Linked DNA regions of Saccharomyces cerevisiae S288C. The gene in region 1 interacts genetically with each later gene. Each region holds a gene or a part of one and is shown in the gene's direction. Other genes may lie near its edges.

Evidence for each region. A genetic interaction does not mean that the proteins touch.
Region 2: mutations in XRS2 (region 1) and TSA1 together harm fitness more than expected from each alone (negative genetic interaction), as found in Saccharomyces cerevisiae (5 studies listed by BioGRID, with this or other methods).
Region 3: mutations in XRS2 (region 1) and CAC2 together harm fitness more than expected from each alone (negative genetic interaction), as found in Saccharomyces cerevisiae (4 studies listed by BioGRID, with this or other methods).

What each region holds. Positions count from the first base shown.
Region 1 is NC_001136.10:1,212,261-1,222,156, reverse strand, and holds XRS2 (Xrs2p), read left to right. Parts: upstream 1-4,576; coding exon 4,577-7,141; downstream 7,142-9,896. Other genes in the region: VPS74 (Vps74p), read left to right, coding at 8-1,045; CTS2 (putative chitinase), read right to left, coding at 1,209-2,744; DXO1 (Dxo1p), read left to right, coding at 3,047-4,375; trifunctional aldehyde reductase/carbonyl reductase (NADPH)/glucose 1-dehydrogenase (NADP(+)) YPR1, read right to left, coding at 7,315-8,253; KEI1 (Kei1p), read right to left, coding at 8,543-9,178, 9,280-9,309; MOR1 (Mor1p), read left to right, coding at 9,321-9,719. UniProt on the Saccharomyces cerevisiae protein: Component of the MRN complex, which plays a central role in double-strand break (DSB) repair, DNA recombination, maintenance of telomere integrity and meiosis.
Region 2 is NC_001145.3:218,164-221,526, forward strand, and holds TSA1 (thioredoxin peroxidase TSA1), read left to right. Parts: upstream 1-1,974; coding exon 1,975-2,565; downstream 2,566-3,363. Other genes in the region: USA1 (Usa1p), read left to right, coding at 1-1,715; YOX1 (Yox1p), read left to right, coding at 3,243-3,363. UniProt on the Saccharomyces cerevisiae protein: Thiol-specific peroxidase that catalyzes the reduction of hydrogen peroxide and organic hydroperoxides to water and alcohols, respectively.
Region 3 is NC_001145.3:66,692-70,498, forward strand, and holds CAC2 (Cac2p), read left to right. Parts: upstream 1-1,602; coding exon 1,603-3,009; downstream 3,010-3,807. Other genes in the region: NUP188 (Nup188p), read right to left, coding at 1-858; CUE4 (Cue4p), read right to left, coding at 3,044-3,397; YML100W-A (uncharacterized protein), read left to right, coding at 3,447-3,620. UniProt on the Saccharomyces cerevisiae protein: Acts as a component of the histone chaperone complex chromatin assembly factor 1 (CAF-1), which assembles histone octamers onto replicating DNA.

The sequences.
Region 1 (9,896 bases):
AAAAATCATGTCTACTTTACAACGTCGTAGAGTCAATAGGGCGGATTCTGGAGATACTTCCTCCATTCATTCTTCTGCTAACAATACCAAAGGAGACAAAATCGCAAATATTGCTGTTGACGGGGATGATGACAATGGAACAAACAAAAAGATTGCATATGACCCAGAAGAATCGAAATTGAGAGACAACATCAATATCCCTACGTTAACGTTGATGGAAGAAGTCTTATTGATGGGCTTAAGAGATAGAGAAGGATATTTGTCGTTTTGGAATGATAGTATTTCATATGCTTTGCGTGGTTGTATAATTATAGAATTAGCGTTAAGAGGTAAAATCAGAATCTTAGATGATTCCGCCAGGAAAAGGTTCGATCTTTCCGAAAGGTTGATTGAAGTTATTGACAGTTCCAAAACTGGGGAAGTTTTACTGGATGAAACTTTGCAATTGATGAAAAACGACGAACCTTTGTCAATTTCTAACTGGATTGATCTTTTAAGTGGTGAAACATGGAACCTTTTAAAGATCAACTATCAATTGAAACAAGTAAGGGAAAGATTGGCAAAAGGTTTGGTCGATAAAGGTGTATTGAGAACAGAAATGAAAAATTTCTTTTTGTTTGACATGGCGACACACCCCATTGCAGACGCCAGCTGCAAAGAAGCCATTAAGCGCAGAGTACTTTCTGTACTCGTATCGAGGAACATGGAATTAAGTTACAATGAATATTTTCCGGAGACAACATCTTTCAAAATCATTAGAACTTTAGCTTTAATATGTGGATCATATGGGGCAAACGTATTGGAGAATGTCCTGACTACGTTGGAATATGAGAAGAGAGATAAGGCAATTAGTAGAGCTGAAGAAATAATGGCACAATTTTCGCAATACCCATTTGATTTAGAAAAGGAAACTGAGTTAGGTGTCTCCGTTAATTTAAACAAGGAAGTTAAAGAAGAGATAGAAAACAATCCTGGTCATGATTTACAATTGGAAGTTATTGCTGGTGTATTTGAAGTCTTTTCAAGAATGGATATGCTATTATGAAAATAACAACAAAAATCCTCTCTTTGAAACATAAGGAAAAGTCAAGCTTTTTTTTATAAGCCTCTAACATTAATAAACGAAATTTGTATATATGTATATACATATACGGAGTGGATAATAAATAGACCAAACTTTTTGTTATTATATACGCCCACATTCGTATTCATTGCTTTCTTGAATCCAAATGCTTTAAATATGGAGATAAAAATCCGCCATCGCCATATTTATTCAAGTAATATTTTTTAACTCTCACATCTTGAAATATTGATGGTTTTGATGACACATTAAAGTGCAAGCCTTCATTAAATGCGTTTATCAACGACCTTGACTCATTTGCATAAGCTTCACCACATGACTCCCACCAAAAGCCTCCGCCTAAATTGTTATGTGTCACATATTCAGCCTTAGTTTTGACTGATTTAGTGTTATCATAACTGATAAATATTGAATTTTTTTCATCAAAGCAATATGCTGAAACATATTTTGGATCGTATTGTTCTATTGTACCAATCTTTGGTAAATTTTTGTAAGGCCAGATGCCCTCCTTGCCATCAGCTTTATCTATTTCTTTAGTGGGCTTGCCCACTCCTTTGAAAATTTTGTTAATTAATACAGTATTTTGATTGAATGGTTCGAATTTGTTATCTTTGATATGGAAACTTCTTCCGTAGGCGGCCATTCCCAGTACTAATTTTCTAGAATTGACGCCAAATCTATCGATCATATAATGCATGGCAAAGTTTCCATTCAATTCCGTCTCACTGAATAGATTGCTGTGATATCCTGTTGTTTCTGACCACGAGCCATAATAATCGTACGTCATCATATTCCAGTAGTCAACATATTGATCAATTTCTGTGATTGGCAAGTAAAATAATTTATCCTTGAATGCAGGTGCCGCAATAGATAATTGAAAATGATCTTCAGTACGTTTCCCAAATATTTGGGATTCGAGGCTGTTTAGTTTTAATCGCAGCATTCTGACCAGTTTCAGATATCCGCGAGGTTCTGATTCATTGTTACCAGGGAACTCCCAGTCTAGATCAATGCCATCAAATCCTAATCTGAACATTGTTTCCACCGACGAATCAACAAAATTTTGTAAGAGTTTATCATCTTTAATTATGATTTTGAAATTTTCACTATCAGACCAGCCCCCAATTGACATGATAACTTTAAATTTCTTATCAGAACAGGTATTCTTCAAATAAAATAGTTCACCAATGCAACCTAAGGGTAGGATGTTTTGGACACTATTGTTCGAGCTTTCTTTAATTAGTTCTGAATTTTTAATTGCCAGCGATTTATACAAATTCATTTCTAGATCAGACCAACTATCCGTGTTTTCTATACCACCAGTTCTAGAGTTTATTTTGAAAAATGCATAGTAAATGTGAGACACTTGCTTCAAGTTTATGTCGTGAGGGAAATGAAACCTCGGTTTGTATGGGGACCAATTGGAATAATAGACCCCTGATATAAAGGCTTCGTCTCTTATATGGGTTCCATGATTTTGGACATTACTGGGAACTCGATGTCCGCCATTGTTAAAGTTGTCTCTAATATCATCCGACCTTTGGTTCTTAAAAATTTTATTATATAAACACATTTCAATAATAATCGTTATAAAGATAAGTAGTATTAGTAGGTGAGACACTAAGCTGCTTTTTGATCTGTGCTGAGCTGAGTGTCCTACCATATGATCACTCTTGTATCGTCTACTTATAGAGGTTGTTAGTACCAACCTGCAAATACAATTGTTGGACCATACTACCACAAAAGGTTCTTTTCGTTGGTGTATCCTCACAAATAATGATTATTCCACCAAAATCACCAAATTATTGTGTCAAACTAACTGGGATTACCCCACTATTGATTTTTCCAGTTTTTCCGCAATTTTCGCAGCATGTTTTACTTTTATAATGGCATTGTTGCATTACAGCGCCAGTTGTAGGTATCGATGATTTTATGTCAAAGTTTTCTTTCTAGCCAAACTCAGTTATGTCAACTGAACAAGATGCTGTTCTTGGATTGGCCAAAGATTTAGAAGGTATAAATTTGCTTACTGTGCCCAATCTCGAGAGAGGACACCAAAGTAAATTATGCAAAGAGAAAACTACTTCTGATTCATCTTCGTCAAGGAAGCCTTCACAACAGAGAGACAATTATAGAAAGAGACGTCCGAAACTTATATGTATCCCATATACGTCTTTTCTGCATACTGGTATGCACAATTTTTTGACGAAACCACCAAGAGATATATTTCATGAAAGTAAAGAAGTAGCTCTGTTTACCAATGGCCGGGCTTATACAATCCTACGCAAAGACCTTATACCAAATTTGAAAGAAAGTATTGCTGAATTGTATGAAAGCTCGCTTCTTGAGGCAAAAAAGCGGAAAGTCCCGTATTTAGGCCATGACTTATTTGCTAATATTGATGAGTTCGTTCCCATGACAATATCCGAATTAGATAGTGTATCACCGTGTTTTTCATACATTGAGAACTGGATACTAGATAATCCTGGTAAGGATTTTAAGATCGGCAAGAAATTTACTGTTGTAACCACAAGACATCATATCGTAGATTTGACTATGCATCTCTTTAACAGGCGAAATAGACAAACGTCACTAATTGTAACTTATATGGGGGCGGGCCTTCTTTCATTTTGCAGAAATGTAAAAAAAGATTCTCAAATGTCCAAAGAGGGCATTTATTCAAATGATCCAAATATGAAGAAAATTTGCTATTCAGGATTTGAATTTGAAAATTGGGTAACCGAAAATTCCAAAGTCGCTGATTTAACTGGCTCTAAATGTCCTATTTTTTCTCTTGTAGAGAGTAAACTTTCAGAAGAAATTGGTCTTTTAATTCGCTGCGAAATGGATGCATTCAATCCTGTTTCGGAGACAAACACAGAACTAAAGTGTTTTGCCCCATTATCAATGCACAATTCCAATCATAGGAGAAAACTTCTGAAAACGTGGGTACAGACGGGTTTATTACCGAACTCAGATATCATGATAGGTTTGAGGGACAGTCATAGCGGTCAATTACTAGACATTCAATGGTACTCAAGGGACTTATTATGTAAGAAATTCAATCACCCAGGTCTACCTACAAATAAAAAGGAACTTAACTATAATGCCCAAATTGCGGTAGAATGGTGTCATTATTGTATTGAAGCAATTTGTAAGCTGGTGGAGGCAAATATCTCTGACTATAGCAGTACAAAACCAGAATCATTTGAAATCGGTATAGATACTAACAACGCCATCGTCATCACTAAACTTAAGACTACTCCAAGAAACGTAGAATTATTTGGAATGTAGAGACGTGTATAATATATAATACTTTTCCGAGAAATATTTCATTTTCATTTTCGTAAAGTTGTTAACTACGCTAAATATTAGTACTTTTCTTAAATTTATATGGGGAGCCCTTTTTTTCTATGAAAAGCAATGCGTAAACCAAATAAGCAGAATTTTGTAATAGATGAGCAACAATACTGAGAAGGTGATAACTATAAATTTATGTGGGTAGTACGATACCAGAATACATTGGAAGATGGCTCTATTAGCTTTATATCATGTTGTCTTCAGGCCTTCAAAACTTATAGTATAGGTAGATCAAGTAAAAACCCACTGATAATTAAAAATGATAAAAGTATTTCCAGACAGCATATCACATTCAAATGGGAAATCAATAATAGTTCGGATCTGAAACACAGTAGCCTGTGTTTAGTTAACAAGGGTAAATTGACATCATTAAATAAAAAATTCATGAAAGTTGGCGAAACATTTACTATTAATGCCTCGGACGTTTTAAAGTCCACAATAATTGAACTGGGTACAACTCCTATTCGTATAGAGTTCGAATGGATAAATGAAGTCTGGAACATTCCTCCTCATTTGACACAATTCAGGACGATGCTTTCTGAATATGGTATCTCCACTGAGATTTCTATTAATGATATTCCCGCTAATCTGATGATTAGCGATTACCCAAAGAGCGAGGACAACAGCATACGGGAATTGTATGCCCTTGTTAGTACTATACCCATGAAAAAATCACGGTTTCTGATGGAATTGTGTAATACTCTTCTTCCCACATCTAAAACTAATTTAAAATTTGATGAAATGTGGAACGATATGATTAGTAATCCGGAGTACAATGTTTTTGATTTTGATCCAAATATTTTGCTTTCGAAGTTTATGAGGCTGAATAATATCAGAGTGTTAACTACTATCAAAAGTGAACCACGTCTATCATCTCTCCTGCGGACGTTCAATATAAATTTATTTGCATTTGACAACATTGATAGTTTATATAAATATGTTGACAGCTTGGAAGCATCAACAGAATACCTGATTTTGACAACTACAGATAAGAAAGAAAATGGGAAAATTCTATGTACTATCAAAACGATGTTAACATCAATAATAGATGGCACCTTAAGCGCAGTGATTAATATGAAGGGTGCATCTTCAAGAACTCTAGATAACGGTAAATTTGATCAAATTTCTGAAGGAATGTCTACTATTTTGAAAACATCTCGTGCACCTGAAGTTGAAGCTAGTCCAGTAGTCTCGAAGAAGCGAAAATTAAATAGACGTAGAGTACTACCACTCGATAGTCTTGATTTTTTTGCTGGAGGTTTGAGTACTAAGACTCTATCAGAAAATAGGTCTTTAACTGACGCTAAGAGACTTAATTGTGGCGCAGAATCAAAGACTGTCATTTCAAGTCCCAACATTGCAGAGGCAGATGAAAAGCACGCCCCATTTCTTCAAAACGCACTAAAGCCGACTGAAGATATTGGAAAGAAAAGTGGTCACAGTAGCCCTGGTGCTATAATTGTCAGTAGCCCCAACTTAGGTACTGTGAACACGAGTGAGGATTCGTTGGATAAGTCGCTACAGTCACATAAGTTACCACAGCCGTCATTGCCGGAGGTAGCAGGGATTGGCTCTCAAACCATATCTTCGAACTCCGCTGACTATGAAACAGCTGCTGTGAATTCGATGGATGATGCTGAAGTTACTAAGAATTTTAGGGTGAATCATCACCAGAATATAGAGCAACCCTCTAAAAACATCCGTAAACTTTCTAATTATTCACGAGAAATTTCATCTCCATTACAAGAAAATTGTAAGTCACCTGTAAAAGAGTTATCTATTAAAGAGAAATCTGGTACGCCGCACGCATTTGTTGAAGCTATTCAAGAAACTAAAAATAGAGAGGTCAAAAGAGTTAAGTCAACCATTGTTGAATTGAAGGATGAGGAGTTGAGCGAGGAAGCTATTAATCAGCTAAAAAATTTGGCTATTGTAGAACCTAGTAACAATTTACTGAGGAAATCATTTGATAGTGAGGGAAACAAAACAAGCAGAACAACTGAAAAATGGGAAAATAGCCTAATGGAGCCAGAATGGCATAAACGCAAGAATTTCAAGACTTTTGTCAAGGTACGTCCAAAATCAAAGGCGCACAAAGAAGAGGGTAAAAATAACACTCAAAGCTCAGATTTTATACGAAATGCAGCCTTTTTAATCACTAGAAATTATGTTCCGTTAAAAAAATACTCCAAAAAGGATACAACTACAAAATGGGGCACAGAAGAAAACGAAGATATGTTTGCTTTGACGGAGATGGAAAGATTTGGATCGAATACATTTATGTCCGATAATATAAACTCAAACACTATCCAGAAAAGATCTCAAGCTCTAAACAGATTCACGAATGAGGATAGTTCAAATGAAGGAGAAGAAGATTCGTTTTCTTTTTCTCGTTGTTCAGGTACTGCAGCCAGCGTTCAACCACTAAAAAACAAAATTTTTATTACTGATGAAGATGATCTGGGTGATATTGATGATAAAAGCGATAGACTAAATCACAGAGAAAATAATCGTAATCTTTTTGTGGTGAAGGAAATGAACTTACGGCCAAACTTGTCAGAAGAATGTTCCAAGCAAAGTAGACACAGTAGAAGCGCAACTAGTAGATCACGTGGCTCTTTTGGGGCTTCTAATAACGGTGATGGCGACGACGACGATGACGACGGTCCGAAGTTTACGTTCAAAAGAAGAAAAGGATAATGATAAATTTTCCGAGTATTTCCAATTTCATTAAATTATATTTTGCATTATCATTCGATATATGTGTATATATTATATGAAAATTAGTAAAATCAATGTTTGTTTCAGCTGTATCGGATCGGTTTAAAGAAGCACTACAGGTTGCTGGAGGCATTAACTGTAATGTAGCGCGCTCATTGGAAAATTGGGAAGGATCCCCACTTCATATCAACGACTCTCTTTGTACCATGCACTTTGGATAGGTTACTAATAGTCTTGAAATCATCCTCAGGCAGAGTGAAAATCTTAAAATTGGATACAATTCTTTCAGGATTAACCGATTTGGCCAGAACAACGTAGCCTCTTTGAATACTCCAACTGATAATAAGCTGTGCTGGCTCAACGCCGTGCTTTTTAGCCATATCAATAATTGCTTGCTCTTTTAGTAAAGGAGCATTAGCACTCCCAAATGGTGAGTAGGCTTCAACAACAATACCCTTTTCCTTACAAAAGGCAATCAATTCGTCTTGTGGTAGCAATGGATGAATTTCAATTTGATTAGTAGCTGGTACCACCTTGTTATTTGGAGATTCTAATAATTCTTTAATGTTGTTAATAGAAAAATTAGAGACACCAACGGCTTTAGTTTTGCCCGTCTTTGGCAACTCTTGCATCAACTCCCACGTCTTGATAAAATTCCATTCCTTAGTATCGATGTCAACAGTGCCATCTTCTAATGTTGGAATGCACAGAACGTTACCATCAGTAACTCTGTCGGTTTTCAAAGGCACTGGCCAATGCATCAGATATAGGTCAACATAATCCAAGCCTAGTCTTTTCAAAGACTTGTTTAGAGCAGCTTCCGGATCACGTTGTTCCGTACCCCAAAGCTTAGTAGTAATAAAAATTTCCTCACGAGGGACTCCGGAATCTTTAATAGCCCTGCCAACTTCTTCTTCATTCAAATAGATAGCCGCAGCATCAATGTGTCTGTATCCAGCTTTCAAAGCTGCAATTACAGAATGGTAACCGTTATTGTCAACGGAACGCCAAGTGCCGAAACCCAACACTGGAATGGAGGCACCAGTATTTAGTTTTAATGTAGCAGAAGAATTCTTTAACGTAGCAGGCATGGTAGATTATTATCTGTGGGTATATTTGCGACCTGATTATATTGCAAAGTTACTTTATTATCACTTTAGAAAAGAAAAGGGTTTCACGGAATTGAATTGCAACCAAATAGGGAATTGCGTGCTATATAGTTTCCTTTTTCCTTTTTTTTCAAAATTACGTAAGAGCTACTTAAATACACACGTGATGAAAAGTGACAATAGCATCAGTGAGAATGATTTTATGATGTCAGAATAGAAACATTTCTTCATCAGTGTAAAACGCTATAACGCTAGGGCTTTATTTTACTATTTACTCTAACAAATTCTTACATAGCTTATAACAACCTTTTTGGCTCTTAGCCCACAGTCTTTTCCAAATAGGCTTGTTTTTCAAGTTTTGTTCTACGTCATCCCTATCAACTAAATATTTGGGGTGGTGTAACAATTCTTGAACAAAAGATGCCAAAATGAAGTTAAAGTAGAACCTGAATATCAATGACACCAACGTAATTAAAATAGTCATGGTATATTCGTAGCTTTCAGTTGCACTTTGTTTACTTATATCAATACCACGTTCTGTCAGCTTACCTGTCGATATTGGGTTACTTTGTAGTGCATTATTTCCATCAATATTAGCAGTGTCTTCCAAGGTGAACCATTGCGTGGTAAACCATAGAGTAAAAAAACAAGTGGAAATGGTATCGATTGTATAAAGTACGCAGATTTGCGAAAATACCAGCAAGTTTGGCTTATGAATCAAATACAGCCCTTGTGAGAATACGATTAATGTAAATACCGACCAAAGATATGCTATCCATTGCATAAAATCCAACGGATGACCCGTGAACAATGCTAAAATACCATAAGCACCACTGCATTTGTTTAGAATGGAAATACCTAAGACAATCTCAACTGCAAGGTATAGCGGCATAAACCCCAAAAAAGACTATGAAAAAAAAATATGTTTGAGAACAGGTTAGTAAAATTGTGCTTTGCTTCGAATCCTTACAAGTTAACAAAAATTTATAGCGTTTGCCGGAAACATACTTTTGGAAGGGTTAGAAGAGATGATCTCATAACTAAGGTTAATGGTTACAATTGGTAGTTCCTCCCTGGTATTATTTCTTTTCTTCGTAGTTTTTGTACAGATCACTTATACAGCTTTACACAGATTTTCCCGCTTGTTGTGCACTTTTTTTTCGAAGATTATTGAAGAGGGATGCGTTTGGTACAATAAAAAACATAGGTTCCCAAACCTATATAAATATATATATGTATATGTATATATACTACATATATGCTTTGAGAAATATGTGAATGTTGAGATAATTGTTGGGATTCCATTGTTGATAAAGGCTATAATATTAGGTATACAGAATATACTAGAAGTTCTCCTCAAGGATTTAGGAATCCATAAAAGGGAATCTGCAATTCTACACAATTCTATAAATATTATTATCATCATTTTATATGTTTATATTCATTGATCCTATTACATTATCAATCCTTGCGTTTCAGCTTCCACTAATTTAGATGACTATTTCTCATCATTTGCGTCATCTTCTAACACCGTATATGATAATATACTAGTAATGTAAATACTAGTTAGTAGATGATAGTTGATTTCTATTCCAACATACCACCCATAATGTAATAGATCTAAT
Region 2 (3,363 bases), on another chromosome or scaffold:
ATGCCACATTATCTATAACTCAAATGAATGTTAAGCCCGATACCACGGTAAAACAAGTGAAAGATTTCATATGTTCTGTTTACACTCACTCATTAAACTTGAGGAGAAATGATATCAAGTTGATTTATAAGGGACAGTTGCTTCATGAAAATAATTTTGCAGGCAACTCTTCAAAGATCAGCGAGTACATTAAAGAGCCACATGAAGTGAAGGTCCATGTACAAATCAACCAAGAGTATACAGAATCTGGGCCTGGATTTTGGAATGAAGTGTTCAACAATCCGAATATTTTCCAATTCATGCCTCCAGATACAAGGTCACAGTCACCTGTTAGTTTCGCTCCGACGCAAGGACGATCTCCTGCTGCAATACGTGGCGAAGAACGGGGTATACCATACGTAACCGAATCTGGAAATGACATCGTGCCCACAGATGAGCTTTATAGGAAATGCATTATCAACGGGGATGAAGTAGTATTCATTCCTGTTAGCGAACTAAATCCACAATCGAGCTATTTGTCCGTGATCAAAGGCGATTACGGTGAAATTAAAATCCCCATATCTAGTAATGACTACAGAATTAATGGCGATAATATTTTGCTATCACCATCTGCGATAGAGCAGTTAGAATCTGCTTTGAACTTCAAAATCGAGAGACCACGGGATTCGACACTCTTGCATCCGTCTGGTGAGCATGTTCGAGCTGCAGATAATACCTCTTCGGCAAATGATAATAATACAGTTGAGAATGACGAGTCAGCGTGGAATAGAAGGGTAGTGCGTCCCTTGAGAAACAGCTTCCCGCTGCTATTGGTATTGATAAGAACATTTTACTTAATTGGCTATAATTCATTGGTTCCCTTTTTTATTATTTTGGAGTTTGGAAGCTTCCTTCCCTGGAAATATATCATTTTACTAAGCTTGCTTTTCATTTTTAGGACTGTTTGGAATACCCAAGAGGTGTGGAATTTATGGCGAGACTATCTCCACTTGAATGAAATTGACGAAGTCAAGTTTAGCCAGATCAAGGAGTTCATCAATTCCAATTCATTGACCTTAAATTTCTACAAGAAATGTAAGGACACTCAATCCGCTATTGATTTACTGATGATACCTAATCTACATGAGCAAAGGCTATCGGTCTATTCTAAGTATGATATTGAGTACGACACCAACACCCCTGACGTTGGACAATTGAATTTGCTATTTATCAAGGTGCTATCGGGTGAGATTCCTAAGGACGCGCTAGATGAGTTGTTCAAAGAGTTTTTCGAATTGTATGAAACGACAAGAAACATGAACACACTATATCCTCAAGACTCTTTGAACGAATTGCTGCTGATGATTTGGAAGGAGTCCCAAAAGAAAGACATCAATACGCTACCCAAGTACAGAAGATGGTTCCAAACCTTGTGCTCGCAAATAGCGGAGCATAACGTCCTTGATGTCGTACTCAGATACATAATTCCAGACCCGGTAAACGATAGGGTGATAACCGCTGTGATAAAGAACTTCGTGCTCTTTTGGGTTACACTACTCCCCTATGTGAAGGAGAAGCTGGATGATATTGTTGCACAGAGAGCAAGGGACCGTGAGCAACCGGCTCCATCTGCCCAACAGCAGGAAAACGAAGATGAGGCCCTCATAATCCCTGACGAGGAAGAACCCACCGCCACAGGTGCGCAACCTCATCTCTACATTCCTGATGAAGACTAATTGCAATGCGATGTGGCCACGTTATATAATGCGTTTAAGGTGTACGAAAACCCATGCTGTTCTGGCCCGTCGGGTTTTCTGACAAATTGTCCTTTAGGGATTTTTCGGTTTGGCTCGGGTTGGCAAAGTCGGCTGGCAACAAACCAGGACATATATAAAGGGAGGTAATTCGTCAGATCAATGCCGAACCGTTCTCAACGGGCCTTCCCCTCGTTCAATTGCTCACAACCAACCACAACTACATACACATACATACACAATGGTCGCTCAAGTTCAAAAGCAAGCTCCAACTTTTAAGAAAACTGCCGTCGTCGACGGTGTCTTTGACGAAGTCTCCTTGGACAAATACAAGGGTAAGTACGTTGTCCTAGCCTTTATTCCATTGGCCTTCACTTTCGTCTGTCCAACCGAAATCATTGCTTTCTCAGAAGCTGCTAAGAAATTCGAAGAACAAGGCGCTCAAGTTCTTTTCGCCTCCACTGACTCCGAATACTCCCTTTTGGCATGGACCAATATCCCAAGAAAGGAAGGTGGTTTGGGCCCAATCAACATTCCATTGTTGGCTGACACCAACCACTCTTTGTCCAGAGACTATGGTGTCTTGATCGAAGAAGAAGGTGTCGCCTTGAGAGGTTTGTTCATCATCGACCCAAAGGGTGTCATTAGACACATCACCATTAACGATTTGCCAGTCGGTAGAAACGTTGACGAAGCCTTGAGATTGGTTGAAGCCTTCCAATGGACCGACAAGAACGGTACTGTCTTGCCATGTAACTGGACTCCAGGTGCTGCTACCATCAAGCCAACCGTTGAAGACTCCAAGGAATACTTCGAAGCTGCCAACAAATAAGACGCTTGCAGAGTTGTCTAAATGACTACTTATTTAAAATTCACTCTTTACGTTTATACCTATCTATCTATATATAAAACCCATAAACTTAATGCTATTCACTGACAAAACGATACACTACCGTCTAAGAAGCTATTCACACTAGCTCAGTTCTAATAACAATCATCGTCTGGCTCTAAAACGCGTAAACCATTCACTGCCACACTCACTTTAGCTCTGTTGCTGCCCTTCATACGCTGAGACGCGACGCTTCTTTTCTTTCATATGATTTCCCTTCTAGGCGACACGCCATGCCCCAAACGGGGAACACCGCGAATTCCTTCTGGTGCCCGGTTTCCTCTTTGGGAAGGGCGTCAAAATGGTACAGCTCGCTATAGTCGCCAATTACTGCAGATGCTTAAAGGCTTCTGCAACTGTATGTCCAACCTAGTACGTGGAAACTTCAAACGCGAACAATCTGTATGCTGTTTCGGGCTACTTATTGCTCTATACGGTTTTTAGTGGACACGAACTCTTGTAATTATTATATATATATATGCCTTGGCATTTTAACAAGACTCTATGTTGTGATTTCAGTATGATTTGGGTGAAAACACAGTGGTGACCACAGAACAACGAGGTAACAGTTCCAGACCACTACCTTTCCCCTTCAATCTTTGTGATTTGATCAATTCTTGATGTCACAAGAAACAAAAATGCTACCTTCTCTATCTAGTCTTCTATCGGGAACCGAAATCTCGTCCAGCCCCGTATCACCAAGCTTCACTAATCCAAGAACGAGTTTTCACCTCGATGATC
Region 3 (3,807 bases), on another chromosome or scaffold:
TGACTGAATATCAAATTGCGCGATTGAAGTGTTCAGTCCAAGTATCAATATAGTTGTGATAGTAAATAAAGATGAAATCCTGGAAATAAGCGTTTCTGAGAGGTAACTGAGGTCTTGGAAATTCTGAAACTTGTACAATTGTAGTGACGAGGTATCTATACTCTTGTCTGTTGAATTTATATTTCTGCAAAATTCAACAAATTGATTTTGATACTGTAGAAACCATTGATTGACGATATCTACTGGTACTTTTGTGTTGAGGATCATTAAATTCAAAATTTGTAATATCTGCAAGATAAACTTCAAATCAGAAAATTTTTTTAACTGCACCAATGAGACAATTGTGAACATGTCTTGATCGTTATTATAATCATGTGCTAAAGATGAAGCTGTAATAATGTCGTAGTTCTGGATTACAGATGATATTATAGAAATCAATTTCCCCACTACATTGAATCTATCGTTGTCAATAAATGAATATGTCTCGAGGTCGATGTCAGGGTTAACGAGAAGTGAGTATACTATATGAAGTCTAGATGATCTCTCAGACATAAAGAATTCTACAGCATGAGAAAGGTCCTCAGATTGAGCAAAGAATGGATCATTATCGACGTTTATTTGCAATAAGTTTGCAATTGTAGAGCGTAACTTGTTATGATCGCCGGAAGAAGTTACATTCTGCCTTATTGTGTTCAGACTCTCGATAAGATTTGTCTTGTTAGCTTTCAAAAACTGTCTTATTTGGGCCAATTGCTTGGCATCCACAGCGGATACATCAGCAGCAGCATCGTTCATAAAATTAGCAACATGAGTGAAGGTCAATTGTGGAGAGGAATTGCCAAATGAAGGTGTAGCCATGGCTGATGGGGTCCTTTTTTTAGCGGTGGAAAGGGTTATCTCTTTATTTGTGTTTCTGTTCGAATATTAAAGATGTCTCAAAGTATTCATTTCAAGAAGAAAATTTTTGGTATTACAAAATATTCTTACCCGGAATATATACATATATACCTTAACTACAAGCAGGAGCCGGCTTTCTGGCAAGGAGGGAGAAGACATAGATTGTTTGCGTATATATGTGGGAATAGCGTCCAAGCACGCCCGTGGCTGAGGGAGCACCACGATCGTTCGGTGTACTTGACACCTCTATATGGTATGTTCTTCCCTGATATTGATATCAGCACAATTACGGCTCTAAGAAACGATGAATATAAAAAACGTTAATTAGGAATTTGACATATGTGCTAGTATTCGGGCCCCTGAGCAAGTTTGTGCGCACGACGCCTGTCCGTTGCTGCACATGCTTGCGTGGGGCCTTTTTGTCGTGTTTTTATTTAGGGACTGTTATCGAAGGAATAGATTTCTGTGGTGAAAAGTAGAAAACTACTAGCTTTTATAGACGGTGGGGGAGAAAAAGGAAAATTAGAATTGAAAAAAATTTGAAAAAATATGAAAATGTGAAAAGGACGCCTTATTTCCTTGGGTTGCCCGGCGAACACGTTAGTTAACTCGCTGTCTAACTGATGGGCTATTATTATAGCGTTATAGTACGTATCAGAATTTAAAAGAAGGAGGCAGAAAAGCTTAGAGCAAAGGGGCAGGACAATGGAAGCTTCACATTTGCAAATCTACTGGCATGATTCACAACCCGTTTACTCGCTCACATTCCAAAAGAACAGTGCGAACGACAAGCTTTTCACCGCTGGTGGTGATAACAAGGTTAGGATATGGAAGTTGAACAGAGATGAAAACGGACAAAATGGGGGGGTGCGTAAGATTGAAAGCCTTGACTTTCTTGGCTCGCTGACGCATCACGAACAGGCCATAAATGTAATCCGATTCAACTCGAAGGGTGACGTACTGGCGTCTGCGGGCGATGACGGCCAAGTGCTGCTATGGAAGCAAGAAGATCCAAATACACAGCAAGAATCTGTGGTCAGACCATTCGGAATGGATGCGGAGACTAGTGAAGCAGACGAGAACAAGGAGAAATGGGTTGTGTGGAAACGGCTGCGTGGTGGTAGCGGTGCTACTGCGGCGGCAGAGATTTACGATCTAGCGTGGTCACCTGATAACAGGAACATAGTGGTGGCATGTATGGACAATTCGATACGACTGTTCGATGTTGGAGCTGGGATGCTGGTATGCGGCCAGTCGGATCATGGTCACTACGTCCAAGGTGTTGCATGGGACCCATTAAATCAGTTTATTCTCTCACAGTCTGCGGACCGGTCTCTGCATGTATATGGAGTCATTCTTTCATCTGCAGGAGTGGTTACAGGGCTGAAACTTAGAAGTAAGATTGCCAAGGCAGAACTGCCTTGTCCAGGTGATGTCCTGAGGACAAATTACCTTTTTCACAACGAGACGCTACCTTCATTCTTTAGGCGATGCAGCATATCGCCTTGTGGTGGTTTGGTCGTAATTCCCAGTGGTGTGTATAAGGTGGCTGGTGATGAAGTCGCGAACTGCGTATACGTGTATACTAGATCTGGAATACTGAACAGCGCTGGTGGCGTTAAAAACCGGCCTGCGATTAGAATCCCATCTTTGAAGAAACCAGCGCTGATGGCGGCTTTCTCGCCCGTATTTTACGAAACGTGCCAGAAGAGTGTGCTTAAGCTGCCCTATAAGCTAGTATTTGCCATAGCAACGACTAACGAAGTACTCGTGTACGACACGGATGTATTGGAGCCGTTATGCGTTGTGGGAAATATACATTACTCACCCATAACTGATTTAGCATGGTCTGAGGATGGCTCGACCCTACTAATCTCATCAACAGACGGATTCTGTTCGTATGTATCGATCGACACAGAAACGCAATTCGGTTCAAGGATAGAGCCGCCAGCGATGCATGCAGAGCCACTAGACACTGACGAGAGCGCGGTAGCGGCTAAGAACCAGCGCGAGGCAGGTGGGATCGTGAACATGCTGCCGGTGAAGAAGATCCCCTGCAATAGTAGCGATAGTAAAAAGAGGCGCATACATCCTACGCCAGTCGATTTGTGATTTTTAATATATTTAATGCGGTACATAAGAATGCCTAATCTAGTTTGCCAGCGAAGATATTTTCCATTGTGTGCTCAATGGACCCTGTGTTCCTGAGATCTTGCACGACTTTTTCCTGAGGCACATGTGGCGCCATCGTCATCACGATTTCAACCATGTCACTATTAACGGCTCTCTTTCGATCACTACCATGTCTGTTTAACCGAGCAACGCGTTCCTCCGGAGCCGATGGTACTGGCTCCGGAGAAGGGTCGTTGGTGGCGACCGAGGGCGCCGGTTTGGCATCCTGTACGGTTCGCGAGGGTACTTGCTTGGCGCCCCTGTGTTTCACGGTGTAAACAAACAAGCACACCATCGTCAGTATAAACACTATAGTCGATCCATCCATTTTTACTTTTGTGCGCGTGGGTAGCCGTGCCTCGTCTGTGTGTGTGGGAATGTATAAATGTGTCCCGAGTTATTATTCTAAAGCGGGCACCATTGTAGTAACTTATTGCGAAATTTCTGCTCTTCTCGTCTCGCTCAAAAATCGCGTTCAGGGTAAAAGGGGCGAAACAGAGGGCCAGATAGAAATTTCGAGAAAAGCGGGTCACCCCGCCCCTGCATTTTGATATGGCGTATTTGGGATTGCTTGCTCGAAAGTGTCTAAGTCCGGCTGGCGGGCCTGGCGCCCTCGCCGAAGGGAGATAGGAAGGGGCGGGGGTCCGGGCAGCGGCTATGGTGTCAGTTACCTAGGGAAGGAGAAGGGGGTAGAACCAAGGGGCTAGCACACTCACCCTGGGGCCCCCGTCTAGCCAA